Linked DNA regions of Rattus norvegicus. The protein of the gene in region 4 interacts with the protein of the main gene of each other region in a pairwise test. Links are inferred from orthologs where the notes say so. Each region holds a gene or a part of one and is shown on either strand. Other genes may lie near its edges. The genes, in order: Phaf1, Ewsr1, Arhgap19, Atxn3, Dnm2, Rad23b and Tex11.

Region 1 (4,005 bases), on a different chromosome or scaffold from region 4:
TTATCTTTTTTTACTATAAAGTAAAGATAGAATTCAAATGCAATGGTGAAGTGAAGACCAACCAGAAGGAGAAAGAGAAAAGGGTAGGGGGCAAAGAAGAACAAAGTATAGTGATAGATTATGTATCAAATGTCTTAGTGAAACTCATTTCTTTATATGTTAATAAAAAAGTTAATAAGGCACACACAACCCTTGAATGCAACAGAACATTCTTTGAAGAGGATCTTTATGCTTCTCTGTAGCCTTTCAAAAAGGTCCTTCAGCCAAACTAAGTGAACTTCACTTTGTTCATTCTCTGTATCTTAACCATTTTCTAAAACATTGTAATTAAAAATACCTTATTTTTTAAAATTTGTGGTTCAGTATCTTATTGTGTAATTCCTAAAATGAGCCTTCTATTTTCTTTACTAGCAGAGTTATAAAGGATTATAGTCTTTTTGCTGGGTGTGGTGGTGGACACCAGAAGCAGGCAGATCTGCGACCATCCTGATCTACATAGCTGAGTTCAAGGATAGCTAGGTCTCTGTAGAGGCACTGGGTCATCACCCCAGCCTTACATTTAAAACTTCAGGTTCTAAGGGCTGGTAAGGTGGCAGTGAACAAGGGTGCCTGTTGTAAACCTGGTGACATGAGTCTGATTGATCACTAGGATTCACATGATGGAAAGAACCAATTCTTGCCCGTTGTCCTCTGACCTCAACTGTGCAAGCTCCTCCCTGACACGTTTCTGAATGTGTATGGGTGTTGTTTGCCTGGAATGTTTGGATGTGCATGACCTGCATGCAAAGCCTGTGGAGGCTAGGAATCTAACCCCGCTCCTCTGAAAGAGCAGCCAAGACTTCCCTCCTAAACTTCCCTTCTAAATAAGTAAATTTAAAAATTAAAAATGTATACTTTAGACTGATATAGTGGCCCACTTTCGTACTTGCCACTGGGTTTGATCTCAAGTACCACACAAACCCAACATACTGAGAGAAATATTATAAGTTCAAACTTAACTTGCACTGGGAGTCTGAAACCAGTCTGGGCTAGTAACGGTCTTAAAAAAAAAAAAAAAACAAGCAAACAAAACCTAATCTAAAAAGAATAATGAAAATGGTACAAGCAATCACTAAGGCTCAGAGCTACCCTATGAGTGTTCTCCCAAAGTTGAACTCTGAACCTAGTGTGCTATTATTTTTGGCCACTATGAAGACAGTGTGAAAAAACTATTCAAATTCTTGGTTCTTGCAAATTTGCCAGAAGAGGCCCTGGGTAGTTAGTTATGTATGTTATAGTTCTGTGTTCTGGAAATTTCCTGACCCCAGTTGATCTCCTGTTTTCACTCAATCAAACAAAGAGATACACAGTCTAAGTGTACCATCTGTAGTCTGTAAACTGTGGGTCTTAACCAGTCCTGGGAGGTCCAGATTACGTAGGAGTTGTCCAGGGGAGAAAAAAATGCTAATCAGAAGCCAAACATCATTTGCTTTTCAGCCAAGCTCTTGGTGCCCCACAAGAGGCTGAATGGAAATTTTCACAGCAGACTAAATTTTGAGAACTCTATAGGAACAGGCAGTCTAAGTTCTGAGAACCAAGACCCCTTGATAAAACTGGCTTTTACAATGGGCAAGAAAGAGGCAGGCAGCCACCAAACCCCAGTAGGTTCTTTCTAGCAATCTACCTATCGAGGTTATTCCAATATGCTGTCTCTATTAACTGAGTCTTCTACATTCAAGGATAAACCATAAACAAATGGAGCAGATGACTCAGTCCAAGAGCTCCCAGCAGAGAGACAGAGAGAGGTTGAGGCCCACACAAACAAGCAGCAGGAACACCTTTCCCCATACCCTTTGCTTAGTGCTGCCACAAAGTAAACACACAGGAGTTACTAAAAGCAAATACTCATGTTCACACACAAGGGCCAATTATCCCCCAAATGACCAAACCGAATTGTCTACAAAGTCAATGTGTAATTTCCACTTCACTCAATTTCAACTTTTAACTCTGCTATCTGGTATTACGACACCACATGTTAAGACTACATTTCAAAAGAGAAGAAAACAAGTCAAGGGTTCCTTTAACAAAAGCAAGCTCATTTCCCCCAACCATCTGATTGTGAGACATGTTCCTCCATTCCCCTAAAACCAAAGGAAGACAGATCAGAGAGTGTTGATTAGGGATGCTATCTATTTCTTAACTATTAGAGTCGGCAAAACGGGCATATATAGTATCGATCCTCAGACCTCAGGGAGGGGTATTAGAGATAAATTCAAAAGAGCAGGGTCTTCCCACGCCACTAAATATTTGTAGTGTACCGGCTATTATTATGATTACAAGTACTACAGCCCCAAAGGTTGCTGAGGCCCTAGGCGAGGGCATCGCTGATCCTATGACAGATGGGAGGAGCGGGATTCTAAAGCCTGAAGCCGAAAGACTAGAGGGTAGGAAAAGGCGAAGAACCGCGAGCGCAGAGGCATCTAGGGCAGGAACCAGAAGCGGAAGGGGCTAGAGAGAATTAAGGGCCAGCGAATAGGGTCCCGAAAGAACCCCACACTCACCCAGTGTGAATTCCCATTGCTCGTTCCCCAGAGAGCGTTCAGGCACCACCTCCAGGTCCAGCATTGGTTCGGTTCGCTGGGCCGGGCGGCCTCCCTGCGGCAGCGCAGACAGGACCCGGCCTGAGGAGAGCACGCAGCTGCTGACTGGCCGCTCTCGTCAGCCTGCGGACGTCCGGCTCTCAGCTCCGTCCCGGGCGGCGACGGCAGCACTAACACAACAACACACTTAACCTCCCTTCACCTCCCGGGCAGCAGCCCCGGTAGGAGAGGCTGTAGCAACAGCAGCGCCTGGAGCAACTGCAGCAAAAGCGCCGTGCCGGGCCGTAAAGCGTGGCAAAGGCGGAGCTAAATCACAGAGGCGGGGCTTGAGGCGGAGTCGCGCACGCGCAAACTCTGGGTCGGAGGCCAGACTGGCGCGAGAAAAGCTTGAGGAAGCTTGAATTTAGAGTCCACATTCCCGGGGTCGTACAAACTGCACAGCAACCCACATGCCTACGCAAGAAAAGGCACAATGCGGACAACACATTACACACAAATAAAGTTGTCTGCCGTCTACGTCTATGTACTAGGACCAAAACAGACAGGAAGGACCTAGTCTTAGGGACTCGCGGCCATTATCTTGCTTGTCACGTACTGACGCTGGCTGCTATTGCCTAAATTGTGCGGAAATGTACTCTCCTTGGAACCAGTGGTCTCTGAGCAGGGTCGACCTCAGAGTTTAGGATGTGTGAGTGTGCTGGCAAGGGCTAAGGTAAGAGGATTGAGTTAGAAGGGTGAAGGGTTCCGGGCCAGGTTTCGTATCCAGAAATGTTCACTCTAGAGAGTACTTTCTAAGCACAGAGGCTTTGCCTGGAGTCAGCTTTGCTGCTTGTTAATGCTTTATGGGCTAATGCTTGACTAAATCCGTAAGAGTTCTGTGCCTCCGTTTCCAATGAGTAGAAGAGGGGCTCCTCTAAGCTATTCAGCCTGAATTTTTGGCCTGCTTGCTCTAGGGCACACCAAAATTAAAAGGCAGCTGAAGCCTCTTATAATGACAAGACCTCACACTCTCAGTCTCATTTTATAGAGGAATAAATGAGGCACAGTGAGGGTAAAGACTTTGCCCAAGGTTCCTTGATCTTAGCAGCTAACCCCGATTTCAATTATATTTCCTAAGGATAGTATTTAGCAGGGAATTAAGTGACAGGCTTAATACTCAAAAGCTACAAAGGAGCCTAACAGTGCAGACGTCACCAAAGTTCAGTGTTACGGGCATTAAACAAAACAAAAACAATAGGACGTCTTTGGGAAGCATTGCTTCATGCCGAAACAACTGGGTCACTGGGCTGTTCAGTGGGGAAGTGGCTACAGAAATGCTGACGTGTGTTGTTGGTTATGTTTAGAGGCTGGGTGTGTTGGTTTGTGCCTGTCTGAAATCCCAGCAATTGGGAGTCTGAGACAGTAAAGAAGTTCAAGGTCATGCTGG
Region 2 (2,489 bases), on a different chromosome or scaffold from region 4:
CATCTGGGAAGCAAAGGTAGACTGGAGGATCAAGAAGCTCAAAGAAGGGGTTGGGGATTTAGCTCAGTGGTAGAGCGCTTGCCTAGGAAGCGCAAGGCCCTGGGTTCGGTCCCCAGCTCCGGAAAAAAAAGAACCAAAAAAAAAAAAAAAAAAGAAGCTCAAAGAAGGTTATCACTAGCTACATATGGAGTTTGAAAACAGCTTGGACTACATGAGATTCTGTCTTAAAACAAGCAGAAAGAAAATGAAACAAAGAAACAAATGAAAACAAAACACCCACCAACTTCACTGCTGAGGTCAGAACAAAAGATGTTAAATTACATTCTAGAATTCTTCAGGACTGTCAGGTTCAAAATCAGCCTACCCACATAATGAAACCTTTACTCAACAAACATCAAAGGCCTTGGGATAAACTCAGTGGTAGAGGCTCTGCACAGCACACAACTGACATAGCCCATAACACTCAAGGTACACTGGCTAAGATGTTCACATTCTCTGTGTTTCTCTCATGGTGCTATCCTTGACACGTCTCTTTGGAAGAGTTTTCTGCACTGAACTGTCTGCTCAGAGAAGTACTTGCAGCTGGGACATGGGGGCTATGCACTCAAACACATAATAAAGGATAGTCCTGACCCTGGGCCAGTGCCTGTGTCCTTTAACAGAAGGGCACACAGTAAGCAACCCCTGGAGCAAATCTTACTGCTTCAACTCTCAAGCCCCCCACCCCCTTCATCAGGAAAGGGGAAAAGTACATGCCTCCTGTTTCTAGACTCAAAAAAAAAAAAAAAAAAAAAAAAGGTGTTTTAGCACGATCCCTTCTTTCTTGGAAGGTGGCAATGAAACTGTTCTAAGTTCTTAAGTGTGCCTGAATGAGCAGAATTCAGAGTGATAAAGAGAACATCCTACCATCAAACCATTCCACGGCAGCCTTGGCAGTTGGTGGATCTTCATAGGACACTGTGGCATCACCTTTAGGCTTTCCTGTCTCCTTATCCAGGTAGATATGGATCATGGGTTGTCCAGTTCTCTTGTTCATCTATACATAAAGCAATAATTAAGATGTGACTATAACATAAGCTTAAAGTTTACAATAGTTCCCACATTCCCCCAACTATCAAAAGGCAGAGTGTGGTGGTCCACACCTTTAACCCCAACACTCAAAAAGTACATCTATCCCTAGGCCAATCAAGGCAACACAGTGAAACCCCCAAAAATGGCAGTCTCATTCCACAGAGGGTTTTTTTTTTTTTTTTGCTTCTTTTTTTCAGAGCCGGGGACCGAACCCAGGGCCCTAGCAAGCGCTCTACCACTGAGCTAAATCCCCAACCCCCATTCCACAGAGTTTAATAAAGGTCAAGTCTTCCTCAGGATGTCAAAACTGTGAGTGACTTAGTTCCTCAGCATCCACAACAAATAGATATTTAGATAAACTTTACACCTCACACATGTTCATTAAAGAATCAAAAGCAAGCAGTGTAGGCCCTATTCCTGGTCTTGGTACCTGTGAGTAGTCTTATGAACCCAAAGAAGCACCGAAGTCAAGCCAGGATATGTAACTCTTCTAAAGAAAGTCACTCCATAGATGCACTTTATTGGAAGAGCCCTTATCTAGCATGAACAGGATCAGAGTTTGATCCCCAACTCTCTAAAAACAGAATAGAAAAACAAACAAAAGACAGAGAACAAAACGTCCCTTCCATACTGAGGCTGTGAATATACTACACAATTCTTGACCTCCTCCAAGAGTTGGAAGGATGGCTTGTTTGTGGTCGGCTTGAACTTAGAAACCACTCTGTCCAACAAGCATGCACATAAACGATGTCCAATCTATACAGGCTTATGTGTGTACCTAATAATACTTGATGCTATAGGGCTCAGAATTAAGTATTTTTTAAAAATGACTCAAATACTCATATCTATAAAAAGAATACTATTGTTAAGCTTGGTGGCAAGCACTTTTATGTTATTGAGCAGCCTTTGAGCACGAAGACTTAAAAACCAAAAAGTTATGTGACTCTGTATGAGCCTTCGGAGACCAAGAGAAGATGTCTGATCCCCTGGAACTTGAGTCACCACTGTAGGCCTCCCTGTATATACTGGGAAATGAACCTGGGTCACCAGAAAGAGTATCAAGTGCTTTTCACTACTGAGGCACCTCTTCAGTACTACTCTATTGAAGCAAGCTGGGCACTGTTGTTCACGACTGTAATGCCACTCAGAGGGTCAAGTAGAAGGATCATCACTGGTTCCAGGACTGATTGGGCCACAGGGAGTAAACTATCATCTCAAAAACCCTAAAATTATACATGTATTAATCAATATCATTAAAAAATTATGACAGGAAAGAATATAGCAAACTAGTTGTATGAATAAGGAAATGTTTTAAGCCAGAGAGGGGATCAGATTCCGCAGAACTGCAGTTGTATTGAGACCTTAACTTGGGTCCTTGAGAAGAGCAGCACGTGCTTTATAACTGTTGAGCCATCTAT
Region 3 (3,500 bases), on a different chromosome or scaffold from region 4:
CTATTGCTGTATTCAGACACACCAGAAGAGAGCATCAGATCCCATTACAGATGGTTGTGAGCCACCATGTGGTTGTTAGGAATTGAACTCAGGACCTCTGGAAGAGCTGCCACTACCATTAACCACTGAGCCATCTCTCAGCCCCAATAAAACATTTTAGAACATACTTTTTTTATGTCACTATCATCTGAACCCAGGGCTCATATGTGAGCAAGCAGTCTACCATTGAGCTGCATTCATCCCAGAACAACAGCTTTAAATACAGACGCTACAAGAGCAAACTATGAAGCAGAAGGGTAAGGTAGCTGCATTGTAAACAAGGAGACGCTTGAACTGGCCGTTTGCTCAGGAGCTCTGCAGTGAAGAATTTCAGTACTGTTTTTATTGGTTAGTGGTCCTGGGGCTTGAACCTAGGACTTTGTACATGCCAGGTCCAACTGAAGATGCCCTTTTGAAAATTTGCTGGAAGCTTTAGAGCTAATCTCCTGAACCCTGGCATTCCCAGTTCAGCATTCTCGAGTGATTCCTGCCTTCTGAAGAGAGGATATACAGGCCTTATTTTTCTCATGTTGGGGTGTGTGTGTGTGTGTGTGTGTGTGTGTGTGTGTGTGTGTGTGTTTTAGCTTATTTGGCTTTTAAAAAAAATCTATTTGATTTTTATGTCTTTTAAAAATTAAAACTTTTGGGAGGTAGAGACATGGCTCAGCTGGTCTTATAGAGAGGACCAGAGTTCATTTCCTAGCACCCATATTGGGCATCTTACAATGGCCTATAACTTCAGCTCCAGGGGGTCTGATGCTGCCACCTCTGTAGGCACCTGTACAGACACACACACACACAGACACACACACACACACACACACACACACACACACACACACACACACAGTAAATTTAAAAAAAAAATTAAACAATAGAAACTTTTAGAGATTTGCTTCCTCCAGTTTTTCAGAGGTGTCTGACAGTGGGTCTGAAGACGGTCTCGCTCTAGATGGTGTCATGTAAATACCTGGCCCTGCTGTTGTTAGTTATAATCAGAGGTTAATGCTTTAGGTTTTCAGTTTAGTTTAGGTGTGTATGTGTGTGTGTGTGTGTGTGTGTGTGTGTGTGATTTTTGACGATGTTTTTGCTGCAGGGTTTCTCTAAGATGGAGTTGTTACTTTCTCTGCCTCAGCAGCTCACGTTGTTTTCTGGCTATTCAGAAGGCCTCGTACTCCTGTTCTGTGTGTCAGTGGTCACGTGACCATCCTGAGGGGCCTTTTGTGCCTGCATTAGGAACTCAGACAGTTTTTGCACATTTACTTGTCTTGTGTGAGGAAGGACAGAGAAACAGAATCTTAGAGGAGACCTAGTCTGTGGCTCCCTTAGTGGAGAGGAGAAGGGGACCCCCCCCCAACACCCATTTTTCCAAAAAAGCCCAACCCTCGAGAGTGACTGGGATCCAGATGTGCTGTTATTAGCTAATATTAGGCAGTTTAAGTCACCCAGAGAAACAGTCATTCTTGGCTTTTGCTCTATCCTTCCCTCCTTTATATGACATGGCCCCAGTCTGTACAGAAATTATCAGGCTGCTGATAAGCTTTTTTTTAAACTGAGGAGGTTGTAGTTTTGAAAGCCAGATAACTACAAAATAATAAATGCTCATAAATAAAATATTTTCTGTTTCTAAATCAGCGCAAAGTCCTGGGCAGTCAGATGACTTCAGAAAAGAAAAACAGTTCCCCTGCTCCAGAGTCTGTGGCCATGGAGGAACTGAAGAAAGCCAGCAAAGAGAATATGAACCTGGTAAGAGCACACACTTGCCTGTCTCTCCCTGGGAAGGAGCTGACAGACTGGCACTTGTTCTGCTGTGACTCTCGGTCGGTCAGCAGTGCTCACCGCCCTTTCTGTACATTTACACCAGACCATTCAGCATGCTTTGAGTTCAGGAAAGATAAGGCATGTAGATTAGTTTGCTTCTGTTGCACACTGGCTACAACTCAGGAAGGAAAGGGTTTATTTGACTTACAGCTTACAGTTCATTATGGAGGGAAGTCAGTCAGTGTAGGAACTCAACACAGGAACTGGAGCTGAGGCCATGAAGAACACTGCTTACGGCTTGCTCCCCACGGCTCTCTAAGCTTGGCTTCTTTTTGTAGAACCTAAGACTGTGTGCCCAGGGAGGCCCCTTACAGTGTCTGTGCCCTCCTACATCAATCATTAATCAGGAAAATGCCCTACATGCTTGCCTACAGGCCGGGCTGCTGGAGACATTATTTCAATTGAGGGTCCCTCTCCCCAGATGACTCTAACCAGCAAAGCTAGTTACACAGCACGATAGCTCTGTCAACAAGTGCTGAAGGGTTGGTTAATTCTCCCCAGAAATGTCATAGAGCATGGCTCCGCAGTATCTGTGGGCAGTCCTTCAAGGTATGCGAGGCTACTGCACTAAGCTGCCCATAGCCAGTTAAGCGTGGGCATAACCTTCATCTGTAATGGAGACTGGCGTCTGATCATCTAAGCCACTGTACAGTTTTCTCGTTGCAGTTCTTCTCTGGCTCTCCAGCTGTCACAGTGACACCAATGAGATTGAAATGGTCTGAGGCGAAGAGAGAGGGGAAAAAAGGTACTCACCAGAGCTGCCGTCTGTCTTTACCACCCGGGCTTCTGTCCTGTGTCTTCTCAGTCAGCGTATTTCCCTTTTTCGATGTCCAAGGTGGTGTGGTATACTTGTAGTCATAGAAATGGATGCTTAGTCTACTTAGCACTGCCTTCAGTACTGAGGGCAGAGTTCCAAACTGACTCACTGACACCTGCTGTGGGCAGACAGGACCCACACATGCATCAGCTGTCTTATATTTGTTTTGTTTTGGTTTTGTTTTTTACTGATTTATTTATTATGTATATAGCACTCTGGTTGCTGGGAATTGAACTCAGGACTTCCGAAAGAACAGCCAATGCTCTTAGCCTCTGAGCCATTTCTCCAGCCTTTAAGAACACTTGTTAAACAAGAAGACACAAGGACAAATGGCTTCGTGAGGCTGAGAACGTCCATGCGAAGAGGACACTCATGAAAGTCATGTTTCTTTTCTCTGCCAGCTTTCGTAGTCGTGGAGAGACCTTAGAAGTCGTGTCAGCATGTTTAGTTCAGAGAGGAGTTAGCACGGTTGTTCTTAGCTTTTCTGTTAAAGCTGCTGTGAGCAGGCATGGGACTGCACAGCTGAAATCCAGCACTCAGGCAGGACTCAGGAGGGATTCTGGAGTTCAGTTGCTACTCCATATGTCAGCAGTGGAAAGAGCTCATGTAGACATGTCATTCAGTGGTAGTGCACACTTGTCCCCACCCTGGGACAACAGAGTCATTGTGATGAATCTTTATTGTCTTCTAGAAAATTAGGCTGTCGTGTGATTTCTTACTTCTTACTGTGATGAATGACCGAGCTCCCTTCTCCTGCTCTCTTTTGCACAGAATTGTGCTACTGAAGCAAGCTCAATATTTGAGTTATTCCTATCCAAATATT
Region 4 (4,283 bases):
AAGTCAAATGCCTTCCTCAGTTGCGCTCCACCTTATTTTGTGAGATAGTCTTTCACTGAGCCTAGAACTCACTGATTTCAGCTAGACTGGCTGGTCAGCAACCAGAAACCCACCTGGCTCGGTTCCCTGCCTCAAGTACTGGGGATACAAACACACACTGGGATCTGAACTCTGGTTTTCATGCTTACACAGCAAGCACTATTCAGGTGAGGCATATCCTTGGCCTGAGTAAGTCTTTGTTAGCCTAGCATTTTGGATATACTGATTCAGTAGTTACCTTCACTGAAATCTGCTCAAATGAGGAACAATCAATATTGTCAAGAAGGTATTGAGGGGGGTTGGGGATTTAGCTCAGTGGTAGAGTGCTTGCCTAGCAAGTGCATGGCCCTGGTTCGGTCCCCAGCTCCAAAAAAAAAAAGAAAAAAGAAAAAGAAAAAGAAAAAAAAAAAAAAAGAAGGTATTGAGGGAGATGGAGAGGTGGCTCAGCAGTTAAGAGTACAGGCTGGCTTTCCAGATGACCTCGGTTCAACTCCTAACACCCACACAGCTACTCACAAGCCTGTTACTCCAGTTCCAGGGAATCTTCTGGCTTTAGTGGGCAACAGACACACAGTGCACAGACATACACAACAGTAAACACCAATACAATTTTTTTGTTTGTTTTCCATGACAGTTTCTCTGTATAGAGCTGGCTGTTCTAAAACTCTCTCTGTAGACTAGGCTGGCCTTGAACTCACTAGAGATTCCCCTGCCTCTACCTTCCAAGTGTGAGGTTAAAGGCCTACCACCCCTGCCAGCAAAAAAATACATATTTTTTAGTGTATTGTTTAAGAGCCCTATGCTGAGCTTCAATCCCAGGATGGTAGGTGGCAGAGGTACCTATTTAACATATCAAAGCGGACCTGAACTCCAGGTTCTCCCAGCATCCCTTAGTCCCTACTTATACCAGGGTATAGCTGGTATACCTACTCTCTACCCTGAACTCTCCAGACCATGGCCTAGCTGCCCTTCCCCTAGTGGTCCTTGCCTATGTAATTCATGTATTTTGGTAACCCAACCTCTTTGGTATACTTCTGCACCTTTGGCTCCTGGCTGCTGTATTTCCTTTCCCTCTCCCCATGTGGTTCAGGGTCATGACAACTCTGGGGTCTCCCAAATGTGTCTGCCCCAGGCTATGCTCTCCCACATCTCTTTAATAAACTTTCTCCTTCACCATACCTAGAAGTCATGTCCTTTCCATTTCTTCCTTCATTCACCCTAAAGATGACCCAGAGAGTAAAGGAGCTTGCTGCCAAAGCCTCAGACACCTGGAATCCACACCAAGTTGGAAAGAGAGGACAGACTTTATCAAGTCATCCTTGACCTCCACACAAGCACATGCATTTTTCTTTTAAGAATACATGGCAGGAGTCTCACAAAACAGTGTATAAAGTATAACATGTTTAAAATGGATTTTATCCCAAAGAGTATAACATGTTTAAAATGGACTTTATCCCAAAGCCTTTGGAAAATTACAAAAGAGTGGGGGAGGGGGTGGCGCACTCAGAGTCAGGGCACATGGTCATAATCCCAGCCAGCACTCAGGAGGCAGAGACAGTAGGATGGAGAGTTTGGGGCCAGCTTGGGCTACAAGAAATCTTGTCACAAACTAACTTGTTCCAGTTCCAAAAACACTATGAAAGGTCTTCTTAAGAACACTTTCATTTAACAACTTCCTTAGATTTACAGCATTTTTGTCTTTCTTTTGTCGTGCATGGACTTTAAACGTTGTGAATGAATGCTCCTTTACAAATGATAAAAACAAAGGCCTTTGCTCCAACTGTAATAATAGTCTCAACTAGCAACCCTCTCCAAACCTAAAATGATTATGAAACACGGAATCATGCCAAAGTTGTCCGAGGAACACCCAAATGACTTGATAATTGTATGCGAGCATAGACCAGTTTCTCGAGATGTCACAATACTGTAAAGCGTAGTCACTTAGGAATTAAGGTGAGGAAGAGACTAGCCAAATCACACAGTAGAAAGATTCTAATCTATCCATAATACCTAAAAACAAAGCTGGCCTCCTGGTCCGGAAAAATGGGAGAGCAGCCCAAACATCCCGTAATAAAAACTCTTATGACGACTTCCCTCCGGGATTTCCTACTTTACTTCCCAAGTGTCAGGCCCTTCAATGGGAGAGCCACGGTCACAACTGCAGAAGGACGTGGGATAGATCACCAAGATCTAAATGCATGGGACATTCCATCATAGAACTGAGTTGAGAGAGAAAGTTGGTTCTGCCAGAGGATAGGTCAGGGGGAGTGGGTGGAGTTGGGAAGGGTCCGTCAGGTGTGGAAAGGCGTCTCGCTAGACTAGACCACAGGAGAGAAGATAGAAGAAACCCGAAAAGGCGTGGCAAGTGAACAAGAAACGCCCGCGCTAATCCTCCGGATGAAGCCCCCCGAAATGCCCAGGTTACCCGCCCGGTCTTTTAGGGTGAGGGTGCCGGAGACGCATGCGGGAGGCTTCATGAACGGTGCCATGGGGGGAAGGCAGGAAGCACCCCTCACCCAGCCAAGTCGGGATGGGGGCGCTCGGGCCCCGCCTGAGTTCCTGAAGCGGCGACGCTGCTCCCCACGCCCGCCGCCGAGCCGCGGACGGCTCCCCACCGAACGCCCACACTCACTTTCTCGTGGAAGATGGACTCCATGTTTATTTGTCTGGAGCCAACGGCCCCGGCGCGGAGCAGCCCCCTCCAGCAGCTCCGCCCCCGGCCCCACCCCTCCGCCCCGGCCCGCCCCGCCCTACCCACGTGCCTCCCGCCACCCAATCACTACTGCGGGCGCACGTCACGCGGCACGCGAGCCGGGGAGCACGGGACACGTGACCTGGGCGGCGCTGGTCCTCCCGCCGCGTGTGTGATGCTGCGGCGCCGCCTGCTGTGCGGAGGAACTTCTCTACGCTAGACAATGTTGTGATTCTAGGGTTCTAGATGAGAATCCTCGCAGCCAGGTTTTAGGTTCTTTTTTTTTTCTCCATTTCCACCTTTTTTGGTACTTTCTGCTCAACTACGTGTAATACCTCCTCTCCCACTGAAAACCTCATTCCAAAAAAGGCATTCTCCCAATACCTAGTATTTGTGTGAAAACTATAGCTAGTATTTAGTTAGGGCTGACTTATAATAGTCCACTTCTAAGTGCGATTTAATGCGGCATTTTTGATGTGTGTGTATGTTGTAATATTATTATACAAATGAAGAAATGTAGGCACTAAGAAATTAGAATAGCACAGTGTCCAACACAGTTGCCTGTCGGAATGAGTATCAGGTCCCAGGATAAATGTACAATATCTGAAGGAGGAAGCGTCGATGGGGAAGTGAAAAGTCCAGTAAAATGTTGAGTGGCTCGCGCCGGGGGTGGGGGAGGGATTGACAAAGATTAAGTGTTATTTGGGCGCGGATCTTGTGTGGTGGAACCATTTTAGGTTCTTCAAAGTCAGCAAAGAAACTGGGTACAAAGACTCATTCTCCTAATCCTTGCACCTGAAGGTAGGAGGAGTATGTTGTGTTGGACTGTGGCAGCCTGTAACCAGGGTTTCTAGGACGATCCTGCCCGCCACCTCCCAACCAAAAACAAAACAAAACAAACAAAAAACCTACAGGAGGTTACAGATTTTCAAAACTAGAGACATGGGGTCAAATTAGAATTTTAGAAGATCACTGGGGAACAGAATACTTGAAAGGCATTTTGGGAGAAATGAGGAGACAATGGTGGTCAGAACTCCAGTAGTGATTTGAGAATGGAGAGAGACCAATTTGAAGTTTCAGGAAGCAGACTCAGAAGACTTTGGTGAGGAACTGGGGTGAAAGGGGTTATTGTTAGGAAAGATTTGTGGGTGTCTGCTGTAGGTACCACCTAAAGAAGGAGTAATACTCCAACCAGAAATACTGTGCAGAATGAGCAGGGTCTTGGGAAGGGAAGACAAGGGTTTAATTTGGGGAATAATGAGTTTAAATGTCTGTGCAACATAAGGTACTTTTGTGAGTAATAGATGTCTGGCCTGGAGTTTACAGAAGCTGTTTTGAGCTGTGAGGTGAGATTCATTGCAATTTAGAAGGTAACTGGCTATGAGGTTAAGAGCATTTGCCACTTCTCTTGTAGAGGACCTGGGTTTGATTCTCAGAACCCACATAGAGGCTCACAGAATTTGGTATCTCCAGATTCAGGGGATCTGATGCTTCTGCAACATACCTAGTAGGTACGGTGACACACATACATGCAGGCAGGCAAGCACTTATA
Region 5 (4,286 bases), on a different chromosome or scaffold from region 4:
CAGCCAGATGTCCACTGATGGACATTCAAGAACAGCAGAAGGAGGAAACAGCAGTAGGGTCAGAATAGACTCTCAGTTCTGACTGTTTAGTAAAATTCACATCAGGAAATAGAGAATGGGACTGAGTGGGACCCTCTTACCGAGGCCGCATAATGCAGGTACATTATGGCATTCTAGAGTAATCACTATGTCTTAAGCCAGACATAGTGGTGCATACCTGATCCCAGCACTTGAAAAATGAAATCTGAAAACTGCTGCTACAATTCTGGGGGCCAACCTGTGCTATACAGTAAGTTCCAGGTCAGCCTGGACTACAGTATGAGACTGTTTCAAAACAAACAAACAAACCAACAACAACAAAAAAAAAAACCAGGAAGGGTGCTGTACACCTTTAATCCCAGCACTCAGGGGGCAGAAGCAGGTGTGTTCAAGGCCAGCCTGTCTATGTTGTGAGATGCTATTTAAAAAACGAATCAATAGCTGGGCTTGGTGGCACTTGCCTTTAATCTCGTCAACTGAGGTAGAGGCCAGCCTGGTGTACAAAGGGGGTTTCAGGACAGCCAGGGTTCAGTTACACAGAGAAACACTGTCTTAAAAACAAAACAAAACAAACATGGATATGTGCATATGCATATACATAAAATGTTTATTTCAGCACCTAAAGCCACAGTCATAGAAAGATCTCTGAGTATGAAGCAATCAAAGAAAACATAAATATCGATAATATTTGTTATCAATTGGTGCTGGGAACTGACCCCAAGGTCTTATTCATGCTAGGTAAGTTCTCTATGTCTGAGCTTAGCCCACAGCTCTCTCTTGGCCTTTTTTTTTTTTTTTTTTTTTTTTTTTTTGAGACAAGGACTAACAATGGAGGCCAGATTGACCTCAAACTCAAGAAATCTGCCTCAGACTCCCACGTCCCTAAGGTCACAGGTTCAGCCTAAATAAACACTTCCAACAACCCAGTCCCTGCAGCCTTGCATCAACTTTGAAGGTTTTTGAGACAGGGTCTGACTATGTATCCCTGGCTGCCCTAGAACTCTATGTAGAGTGAGCTAGCCTCAAATTTAGGGATGCCCTGCCTCCACAAGACTGGTAACAAAAACACACAACACAGGGTGTGTGTGTGTGTGTGTGTGTCTGTCTGTCTGTCTGTCTGTCTGTCTGTCTCCGTCCCAATGTTAGGGTGAGGCAGAGAGTGGTGGATCACTGGAACTCACTGGCCAACCAGACTAGCTGATCAGTGAGCTTCATGCTCAGTGAGGGACCATGTCTCTAAAATTTAAGATGGGAGGACAAACGCCTAATGACCAGAGTTTGATTCCCCAGGACCCACAGAGAATTGGAAGGACTTTACAAAGATTATGTCCCCTGACTCCACAAGTGCACTCTGGCACACACTTGGACACACACACACACACACACACACAATGATAATGTCCACAGCAAAGCAAATGTTATCACTGGGCACACACTGCAGCATCATACATGGAGCACTTCCTGGAATGGAGAAGTGCTGCTGTGTGCAAGGCAGAGGGGGAGGGACAGGAGTAAATCAACATCCCTTCTTCACTCACTTCCTGGATCCTACAAACAGCTGCGAGTGGAATTTGCCCACTGGACAGATGGAAGAAGCTGAGGCTCCCAGAGCTGTCTGGAGAGCATTCCAACTGGGAGGCTTTAGCTTAGAAGTCATCTGACGGGTTTGGGGATCCTGGGCCAGGAAAGAACCCTACAGAATGTTTCTTCCCAAGTTCCCTGAGTTCTGTCACTCAGAGAGGATGGACAGGCAGGGGTGCCTGGGCGGTAATGGAGAACAGACTAATGGATGGATTCACTTGGAAGACAAGAGTCAGTCGGCCCAAGAGAACCAGATAACAAGAGGCTACCAAAGTTCAGCAGGTCAGATGGCAGAGGCCCACTCAAGTAAATAAGGGGCACAGATGGGCATTCGCACACGAGAGGTCACCTCAGATGGCTAGCCAGACAACGGTGGACCTCAGAGTGGGTCTGGACAGATGGGACAACCAAATGGTGCCCGTAGGAAGCCTGTTCAGAACGGATAACCAGCTAACCAGACAAGAGAGAAGGCTCCAGATAAATAACTGGCCAGACAGACCCCAGGGGTCATCCCCCATGGATGGCTGGGTGGCAAGTGTTATCTTCAACAGCACACACACTAAGACTTCCAGGCAGCAGGAGAAAAGAGGAGTGGATCACCACAGATCACAGGCAAAGCGATGTCAGAGTTACCCAGCGATAGCCGGAACTAGATGCACCAAGAGAGGTTTGCATTGACCGTCTTGCCCCAAACACCACCCACGATCATCGACTAGTACCAGACCTGGATCTCCATCTCCAGTCTCTGAGAAAAGTCATGGAGACTCTTGCCCCAGACCTTACCCAATGCCACCGGTCCTGAGGCGTCCGCGAGCCGCAGTTCCGCCATTCCCCGCCCGCCCTCCGCGCCCTAGGCCGCCGCCCGCCCTCCCAGCCGGAGCCCCAGAACCGCCGCCGGCGCGCTCGCTCACCGGCCCACGAAGTTCTCGAGCACCGAACTCTTGCCGGCGCTCTGGCCGCCCACCACGGCGATCTGCGGCAGGTCCAGGTGGCAGCTCTGACCGATGGAGCTGAAGGCGTCCTGCAGCTTGTTAACCAGCGGGATGAGCTCTTCCATCCCGCGGTTGCCCATGGTGCCCGCCTCCGCCCCGCGGATCCCCCGACTACGACTCGCGGTCCCGATGCGTCTGTGGCCGTTGCTTCCTCCTGCTCTGCTCTGCCAGCCCGCCCGGGCTCCCCTTCGCCGCGACGCCCGCTCCCGGCTCGGCCTCACAGTCACCGCCTCATCCGGTTCTCAGGCGACACCCGACCCGAGCAACCTCCCCTCCCGGCCTCCGGGGTGGAGCCCGCAGCCCTAATGCTATATCTAATTGGTCAATAGCACTGCCACTCAAGAACGTGAGCCAATAAAAAAGGCACGAGGAAGGGTTAATTTCACAAGTTCACTGGGTAATAAAACCGTCACTCTTAAATGAAAGCCAATAGAAATCGAGCCGGGTTGTCAGACCGGGAAGGCGGGGTCTCTGGGAAAGACATTGAGGCCTCAGCTCACGGATGCGCGTTGGCTTATTGGTCACACAAAACGTCAACCTGCCAATAGTGTAAGGAATCAATCCTTCTACACTGGATTGTCACTTGACACTAGTTAATTCCGTAAAAATTTCTCATTGGTTGATATAAATATCACTTCTCTACTCCAACCAATAAGAGAAAAGAAGAGCCGTAATCTTTTTATACAGTTTCTATACAGTTTCTGTATGCTGGCTACAAACTCTCGATGTTCCCCCTGTGTCCACCACCCGGTCTTGCTAGGATACACGTTACTAGCGTCCCAATCCTGACTGACAACCGCGTCATAAAAATTCTTTCAGCTTTCCTGGCATTTTTTAACACTTTGTGATATTCTTTTAAAGCAAAGGGCCACAGTACTCAGGGAGGCGAACATCGTGGATAAGGTTCAGTGATTGTCACACCTGAATTCTGAGGCTGTAGTGAAAACTTGTATTTTAGAAAGCCTCACAACTCCTAGCTCTGAAAGAATCCCAATGCCAGTGAAGATAAGTGGACACTTCTGCCTCACAGAAAAGTACTCTCGTCTTCTCATGCCTGTATCTGTATATTACTAAGGATTGAGTCTACGGTTTCATGAAGCTAAGCAAATGTTTTACCAGTGGCTACAACTCTAGGGTTATTTTTACTTTATTTTATTTTTTGCTCCAAGAGCGATGGCTCAGTGGTTAAGAGTACTCGCTGCCTTTGGAGCAGACTCAAGTTTGGTTCCCAGCACCCACATGACAGCTCACAACCATCAGTGAGTCCAGTTCCAGGAATCTGACACCCTCTTCTGGCCTCCATTAGTATCAGACACAGACATGACACACATACCTACATGCAAGCAAACACACCGATGTACAGTTTTTTAAAAATTCACATAACATTTAATTTTTTAGAATTATCTATTTATGTATAGGAGTACACTGTAGCTGTCTTCAGACACACCAAGAGAGGGTGCCAAATCCCATAACAGATGGCTGTGAGCCACCATGTGGTTCCTGGGAATTGAACTCAGGACCTCTGGAAGAGCAATCTGTGCTCTTAACCACTGAGCCATCTCTCCAGCCCAACATTTCATTTAAAGGATTTACTTTTTTATGTGCACCAGATACGTGCCTGGTACCCATAGAAGTCAGGAAGCATCAGATCCCCTAGATCGGGAATTCTGGATG
Region 6 (3,500 bases), on a different chromosome or scaffold from region 4:
TCTTTGAATGCAGTAAAAGATGCTGGATTATAGTTCCACCCACCTTTTCTTTGAAAGCAATGTAATACTAATGGATTTAATGGCAATACATTCTTATCTAATAAAGAAAAACATCCACAAGTATCAGAAACCCAGTTTTGAAAGATGTGCGTTCATTTTGAACTGAATCAGCTTTTGTGGTGTTTTTAAAGGCAGCAGTTTGACTCACAACTTGCTGATCAAACACATTTCTACTGAGGAAAGGGGAGGGAAAGGGAGTAAATGCAGCAAAGTTTCTTCATTGGCCCCAAAAGTGCTAATTTCACAAAGGGATACACCGAAAGCAAACATGCAATGGTTGTTTTAAGTCTTTTACTGCAACACAACAGTGAAGTAAACAGTAATCAGACACCTACCAATCCCCCAAACAACACAGAATGTAAACAGGAAAATAACTCTGCCTATAAGTGTACAGCTTCTCAAATCATGTTAGATAGAGGGGCTCACATTCAATAATCAAGAAATTTTAAAATAGCAGTAATTATTTTCATTTTAAGAAAAAGCCCCCTTTCTGCCCTCCCCACCCTAAGCACTGAACATGAAGAATGGGCTTCCTTCTGCATCAATTTCATACTCATGTGAAGCAGCAACAATGACTATCAATAATTTGGCATTTCTGTTTACAGATGCTCCAATGTTTCCCCCTCAATTTCAAAAAGCCATTATCCAGTGTTGCCATAAAACAGACTGTAGATTCTAGGTAGCAAAGATTCTTTCAGAAACCAATGTTAAGTCAAAGAAAAGAGAAAGCAGGGCATCACACTAAATTTCTGGATCTAGTACACTAGAAAGAATGAAACCCAGGAAAAGTTACCTACTGCGTAGAAGAATAAAGCCCTGTAAAGGCGGTGTTTGGTTGTGTAGTATTTTACACTGTGTGGACCTGCAGCATCTGCTGACTGAAGCAGACATGCACTGTATGTATCCCTGCCCTATAGCCTAGCTCCCCACCCCCACCCCACCAACCTACTACCGTATACCAAATATTGTGGATATGAGCCCAAGTCACCCCAGACAATCCAGTGAACAAGGTTAGTGTAATGCACTGGTGTGAGTGTGAGGTACAAAAGAGTCCCTTCAGTCTTCATCAAAGTTCTGCTGTAGAAGAAAGTTGGCCGCCAGATTCTCGTTCTTCTCACAAGCAAAGTATGCTTGAATCACAAGTCCTTCAGGAAATCCTAATGCCTTTAACTGGAAAAGAAGGAAGCAATTAAATCCAGCTTATCAACTATGGTGGATATAAGTCTGCTTACATACTGGGGATTGCGACAAACAGCACCACGGAAAACGCTCAACAAAATCACACAAGGTCAGTCTCACTGGAACCTGGACTCACTGTTCAACACTCTTAGGGTGGAGAGAACATTATAACAATCGAAAATATTTATTTAATGCTGTTCTGAGTTAAGGAGATTAAATTAACAGGCACTCTATGCTAAAAGTATGCTCTGGTACCTACACTAAAAACCAGTAGTTAATTGTCCTGATTTAAAAGTAAATGAGCACAAACAAATATGGATATCAAATGGCTTTAGTAAGGGAAGGTTTAAGAAAGGGAGAGAGCATGTGGAAATACCTTAACTTGCTCATCAACTTCTTGTAAAAGCAAATGTTTCATTTCTTTTTTTTAATCAAATATATCATTCACTTTACATTCCAAAATCAATGTTGCATTGCTTAACATGGCCTGTATATTTCAATGCTGCTCTTCAGTTCCTTGCCTTATCAACACTTTATAGTAGAAAAGTGGATGATCAATTACAGTACCATGATGTATTGCGAAATAAAGACAACTATGCTTAAATTTATAGCATATTTGAATCATCAATATCAGTTACTGAATCTCATTTAAAAACTCGACTAAAGCCCTTAAAACCTTCAAATCAACTATTTACTATATAGAATCATTATTTCTTAGATGAATACCTCCCTCAACTGTCTCAAAGCCTTTCTCTGACAGACTACAGAAAGACTATTAAAAACTGGAAACAACAAAACAAAAACAAAAAACAAACTAAAAAACCCAACCCCAATTCAGCACAAGAAGCTATTTATAAATTAAAATAGAAAACTTCAAAAATGAATTTGTTAAGAGTTAAGTTGTGTACAAATTAAAACTAGGGTAGCTGAAGTAACAAGAAAGAGTTGGAACAATTCAATGACATACTGTGGTGAGACATAAACCTGAGACTTAAAGTCACACAATAACCAAAAGACAACTAGAATAGCTTTAGTTACTAGACAAATTTGTTACCAGAGATGAAGGACATTTTTACAACTAAAAGGAGGGGGCCAAGAAAACATAATGATAGACAGATATAACGAGAGGCCAAAAATACACCAAACCAACAGAACTACCACAGAAGAGAAAAACCAGCAATACTGCTGTACCCGAGGACTTCAATTGCACCACTATTAGTCACAGGGTACAGTCAGACAGGGCACCAACAAGGAAATCAAAGAAAGTAACCAGCACTATAAGGCAACTAGTCTTGACAACAGGAGAATGTTTAATAAGAGCATATTACTGTCTCAAATACTCAGTGCATATATGGATACATGTGTGTTTCTTTAATAATTGGATCAACCTTAATAAATTAAGAGTAAAACTAACCACTTAATATTAACAAGAAAATCAGTAACATTTAAAACAAAACAAAACACCACCTGAAAAGAGTGTGGCTGGAGTGGAGGGCAGGAACTTCAGGAGAGAAAATATCTTTCAATGATAAAAACAAAAAACAAACAAACGAAACCCACAAAAAGATCATTAACTGACAAACATTTAAGATGACCAGGAGGCAAAGAAACCTAAAGATTCAAGGAATAAATTTAGAACAATTCCTACCTTTTTGACAAAGGAAAGGTGTAATGAAGTACGTAAGCACAGGAGTTCCCCAAGAAAAATGAAGGTTCAAATGGCAACTGATAGTCTATCAACTCCTTAAAGAATCAATACCAATTCTTAAATTCTTCCAAAAAGAATTTAAAAAGTAAACACCATTTACTCTTGTGAGGCCCCAATTCCCCAGTATTAAAACAAGATATCCACGACCGAGAAACTACAAAGTAATAGTTGTTATGAATACAGGTATAAAACCCTCAACTAAATATTAGGAAACTGAACAAAACACCTTTATTTAATGGACAGTGGCCTTTATCCCAGGAATGCAAATGTTCCTCTACATAGAATAAATTATTTGTAAGAATGGAAGATGATCCTTTGATACTTAGAAAAAGTATTTAACCGTTTATGAGACAATCCTCACACCCTGACACTGAAGGGGAACTTCCCTCACCAGCGAACTCCATGGGAATAAACACACACATGAGTTTAGCAAGTTTAGGGGACTATAAGATCACCGTGCAAAACCAAGCTGTACTTCTACGCAGCTAATAGTGAACATTTTGAAATTAAGAAGAAAAAAATCCCAACAGCATCAAAAAGAATAGCTCTTAGG
Region 7 (3,500 bases), on a different chromosome or scaffold from region 4:
ATCCCTAGAACAAACGAAACTCAAGAGGGATGATCAAAATTTGAATGCTTCACTCCTTCTTTAAAAGGGGAACAAGAATACCCTTGGCAGGGAAGAGAGAGGCAAAGATTAAAACAGAGACTGAAGGAACTCCCATTCAGAGCCTGCCCCACATGTGGCCCATACATATACAGCCACCCAATTAGACAAGATGGATGAAGCAAAGAAGTGCAGACCGACAGGAGCCGGATGTAGATCTCTCCTGAGAGACACAGCCAGAATACAGCAAATACAGAGGCGAATGCCAGCAGCAAACCACTAAACTGAGAATAGGACCCCCGTTGAAGGAATCAGAGAAAGAACTGGAAGAGCTTGAAGGGGCTCGAGACCCCATATGTACAACAATGCCAAGCAACCAGAGCTTCCAGGGACTAAGCCACTACCTAAAGACTATGCATGGACTGACCCTGGACTCTGACCTCATAGGTAGCAATGAATACCCTAGTAAGAGCACCAGTGGAAGGGGAAGCCCTGGGTCCTGCTAAGACTGAACCCCCAGTGAACTAGACTGGTGGGGGGAGGGCAGCAATGGGGGGAGGATGGGGAGGGAACACCCATAAGGAAGGGGAGGGGGGAGGGGGATGTTTGCCCGGAAACCAAAGAATTATTATTACGTATTAAATAAATTTTAAAAAAAAGAAAAAAAAAGAACCAAACTTAGATTAGGCTCAGCAAGAGGTACCTTCCTTTACCTGCTCAGCCATCTCACTGGTCCTAAAACCCTTCAGGAAAATACAGCAATAGATGCTAGAAAATTGTGCATCCATAAGGACCTGAACTGGGACACTCAAACACCCACATGTTAAATCCAGACATGGTGAGGCACACCTATAATGCGAGCACTGGGAAGGCAGAAACAGAAAGTTCGGTATGGCTTGCAAGCCAGTTAGTCTTGCCCAGTGAGCTCCAAATACAGTGTGAGACTCTGTCTCAAAAAAAAAAAAATAAGGTGGGGGCTAAAGAGATGTTCAATGGTTAAGAGCAAATCTTGCAGGAGACCTGAGTACAGTCCCAGGGGATCTGATGCCTCTGGCCTCTATAGGCACCTGTATTCAAAGCCAAACCCACATGCAGACACATACTTAAAATAATCCTTAAAACAAACATCACCTGAATTATAATGAACAAAATTATATTTTTACCAACCTGAATATTCTGTACTTCAGTCAGAGACTTCCTGTTGAAATTTGATATGTTCATGAAGAATTTGTCAATCATTTCATGTAGTCTCCATGAATTTCCAGTTATGATCATGGTTTTAATAACTTCTGAAATAACAAAGAACAGTAAGTGTGCTATGAACTTATTGCAACTGGTTAAAGTTAGCAAAGCGTTGTCAAATTTGTTCCTAGATCTTTGGCCAAATAAATACAGCATTAAGTAAAAGCTGAAAATAAAATTTCTTTTAGCTAAAGAGAGAATACAATTACCACTGGGATTAACTTGAACTTGGTGATCACTCTACTCATTCTCTAAAAGTAAAGTGTATTGACTCCACAAAGAGTAATGCTATTATAAATAAAACTACTACAAAACAGATGTTAGCGATGCCTTCCAACTTAAAAAAACATAGAAAATTGAGGAGAATGGATATATATCCTGTAAAACTGAAATATTTATTATTACTTGCAAGCATTAGTCAAACATCAATTTATGCTGGATCTGAAGAACTGGCCTTGCTTTGTAAGGAAAAGAAATGACATGTCCAATTAGAGACAACATTGTCCAGTTATTGAATCTGTATAAATGATGTCACTATTTTCTAAACAATCTGAGCACCAGATCCTCCATATAGTCAAATCTTACCAGGCCATGGAATTCATTAGAGCCCAAAAAAAATAAAAACATGATGTAGACTCAAACTGATACCTTTCATATTATCAAAACTGAGCAATTTTTCCAACCTAGTGTAACACAGTTTCCATAAGGTACATCTTTTCCTTTCCTTCTGATTATCATACAGAATAAAAATGGCATTATACTTATTCATAAAATACAATAAAAGCATCTAACAGTGCTGAAAAGGTGTATGTCTGTAGGGGTGTGTGTGCAGTTGGGATTCAGAGCCTCATACATATTATACAACTATACTTCCAACTACAACAAACAGATCTTTAATATGCTACAATTATTTCATGTTAGAAAATAGATTCAAATAAAGACTTCACAAAGCAAACTATGTTCAAATATTTTTTATAGTGCATGGAAGCTTTAGTACCTCCTTGTGCTGGCTAGTTTTATGTCAAATTGAAACACTAATTACCTGCAAAGAGGGAACCTCAGTTGAAAAAAATGCCTCTACAAGATCTGGTATAGGGCATTTTCTTAATTAGCGACTGATGGAGGAGGTCCCACCTCATTGTGGGTGGTGCCATCCCTGGGATGGTGATCCTGGGTCCTATAAAAAAGCAGGCTGAGCAAGCCACAATGAGTAAGCCAGTAAGCGGCACCCCTCCATGGCCTCTGCATCAGCTCCTGCCTCCAGGTTCCTGCCCTGTGTAAGTTCCTGTCCTGACTTCATTTGATGACCAGAGATAAGGAAGTGTAAGCCCAATAAATCCCTTCCTCCCCAACTTTTTTGGTCATGATATATTAACCCTAACTGGACACCACAGGATAAGCAGAAATATAATAGAAAATATAGCACATCTACATTTCACACTATAGGTTATATTTTATAGGTATATTTGAAAAACTAAACCTGTGTCTTTTCTTCCTTCCATAACTTACTTAATGTAAAGATTCATATGAAATAACTTTCATATGAAAATACTAATTTCAAAATAATTCTGATCCCTTCAAAATACATTTTCAATGTAAAGCAGTGGAACAACTTAATTGACACCAGCAGAGGTGATGGCATACTGCACTCCTTTAGTATAAAACACAGTCAGAAAATCTGGGAAGGGAGTAGAGATCACACAGCTGAATAAGGGTTGCACTAGAAAGGAGAAATTTACTATTAAAAGAAGCTCACAGAAGGGTTTCTAAATGCAATCTTCCTAAGATGTGAAGACAGCATGTCACATTAAGATCATATCAAGCAAAATCATACACTGGAAACAAAAACAAAATGGTTAAACAAAGCTATCAGAATAAAGTATAATTTATGGATTGATTTCAGTCTATCTAATTTAACAAGATTCCTGCTAGCTAAAACTCTGGCATCATTCTATTATGGTGACCCTGTTAACTTGCATCAATTAATGCTAATTAGGTAGACAAGATACTACAGACAGTGTGTGTAATAAAAAATAAATATTTTCCCTGTCTTTGAAGAAGGAAATTTCTATTCTGACATGGAAAAGTCTACAAAAAAGCCTATCCATGTGCCCTGCCCAAAGCAACCTCAGTGACCTCCATTGGCTCAACCAGTCAGTCAAAAGCCAAAGCTGCTCAAAGGTCTGCCAGGGTCAGTTCACAATTCTTTTTCATGTCACAAGGGTTACATTCAACTACTT

What was found.
Region 1: the proteins of Atxn3 (region 4) and Phaf1 interact in binary tests that used the Homo sapiens proteins (3 or more experiments, as listed by UniProt). The link is inferred for Rattus norvegicus from reciprocal best matches to the Homo sapiens genes ATXN3 and PHAF1.
Region 2: the proteins of Atxn3 (region 4) and Ewsr1 interact in binary tests that used the Homo sapiens proteins (3 or more experiments, as listed by UniProt). The link is inferred for Rattus norvegicus from reciprocal best matches to the Homo sapiens genes ATXN3 and EWSR1.
Region 3: the proteins of Atxn3 (region 4) and Arhgap19 interact in binary tests that used the Homo sapiens proteins (3 or more experiments, as listed by UniProt). The link is inferred for Rattus norvegicus from reciprocal best matches to the Homo sapiens genes ATXN3 and ARHGAP19.
Region 5: the proteins of Atxn3 (region 4) and Dnm2 interact in binary tests that used the Homo sapiens proteins (3 or more experiments, as listed by UniProt). The link is inferred for Rattus norvegicus from reciprocal best matches to the Homo sapiens genes ATXN3 and DNM2.
Region 6: the proteins of Atxn3 (region 4) and Rad23b interact in a two-hybrid assay, tested with the Homo sapiens proteins (2 studies listed by BioGRID and IntAct). The link is inferred for Rattus norvegicus from reciprocal best matches to the Homo sapiens genes ATXN3 and RAD23B.
Region 7: the proteins of Atxn3 (region 4) and Tex11 interact in binary tests that used the Homo sapiens proteins (3 or more experiments, as listed by UniProt). The link is inferred for Rattus norvegicus from reciprocal best matches to the Homo sapiens genes ATXN3 and TEX11.

The regions. Positions count from the first base shown.
Region 1 is NC_086037.1:50,010,233-50,014,237, reverse strand, and holds the start of Phaf1 (phagosome assembly factor 1), read right to left. Parts: upstream 2,801-4,005; 5' UTR 2,605-2,800; coding exon 2,541-2,604; intron 1-2,540. UniProt on the Homo sapiens protein: Plays a regulatory role in autophagic activity. In complex with BCAS3, associates with the autophagosome formation site during both non-selective and selective autophagy.
Region 2 is NC_086032.1:84,181,607-84,184,095, forward strand, and holds part of Ewsr1 (RNA-binding protein EWS), read right to left. Parts: intron 1,037-2,489; coding exon 907-1,036; intron 1-906. UniProt on the Homo sapiens protein: Binds to ssRNA containing the consensus sequence 5'-AGGUAA-3'. Might normally function as a transcriptional repressor. EWS-fusion-proteins (EFPS) may play a role in the tumorigenic process.
Region 3 is NC_086019.1:250,535,682-250,539,181, reverse strand, and holds part of Arhgap19 (rho GTPase-activating protein 19), read left to right. Parts: intron 1-1,674; coding exon 1,675-1,785; intron 1,786-2,512; coding exon of another isoform or gene 2,513-2,526; coding exon 2,527-2,605; intron 2,606-3,500. UniProt on the Homo sapiens protein: GTPase activator for the Rho-type GTPases by converting them to an inactive GDP-bound state.
Region 4 is NC_086024.1:126,869,982-126,874,264, forward strand, and holds the start of Atxn3 (ataxin-3), read right to left. Parts: upstream 2,801-4,283; 5' UTR 2,696-2,800; coding exon 2,672-2,695; exon of another isoform or gene 2,556-2,671; intron 2,522-2,555; exon of another isoform or gene 2,050-2,521; intron 2,023-2,049; exon of another isoform or gene 1,219-2,022; intron 1-1,218. UniProt on the Homo sapiens protein: Deubiquitinating enzyme involved in protein homeostasis maintenance, transcription, cytoskeleton regulation, myogenesis and degradation of misfolded chaperone substrates.
Region 5 is NC_086026.1:28,253,103-28,257,388, reverse strand, and holds the start of Dnm2 (dynamin-2), read right to left. Parts: upstream 2,801-4,286; 5' UTR 2,693-2,800; coding exon 2,532-2,692; intron 1-2,531. UniProt on the Homo sapiens protein: Catalyzes the hydrolysis of GTP and utilizes this energy to mediate vesicle scission at plasma membrane during endocytosis and filament remodeling at many actin structures during organization of the actin cytoskeleton.
Region 6 is NC_086023.1:74,920,018-74,923,517, reverse strand, and holds part of Rad23b (UV excision repair protein RAD23 homolog B), read right to left. Parts: intron 1,231-3,500; coding exon 1,117-1,230; 3' UTR 1-1,116. UniProt on the Homo sapiens protein: Multiubiquitin chain receptor involved in modulation of proteasomal degradation. Binds to polyubiquitin chains.
Region 7 is NC_086039.1:70,226,545-70,230,044, forward strand, and holds part of Tex11 (testis-expressed protein 11), read right to left. Parts: intron 1,308-3,500; coding exon 1,186-1,307; intron 1-1,185. UniProt on the Homo sapiens protein: Regulator of crossing-over during meiosis. Involved in initiation and/or maintenance of chromosome synapsis and formation of crossovers.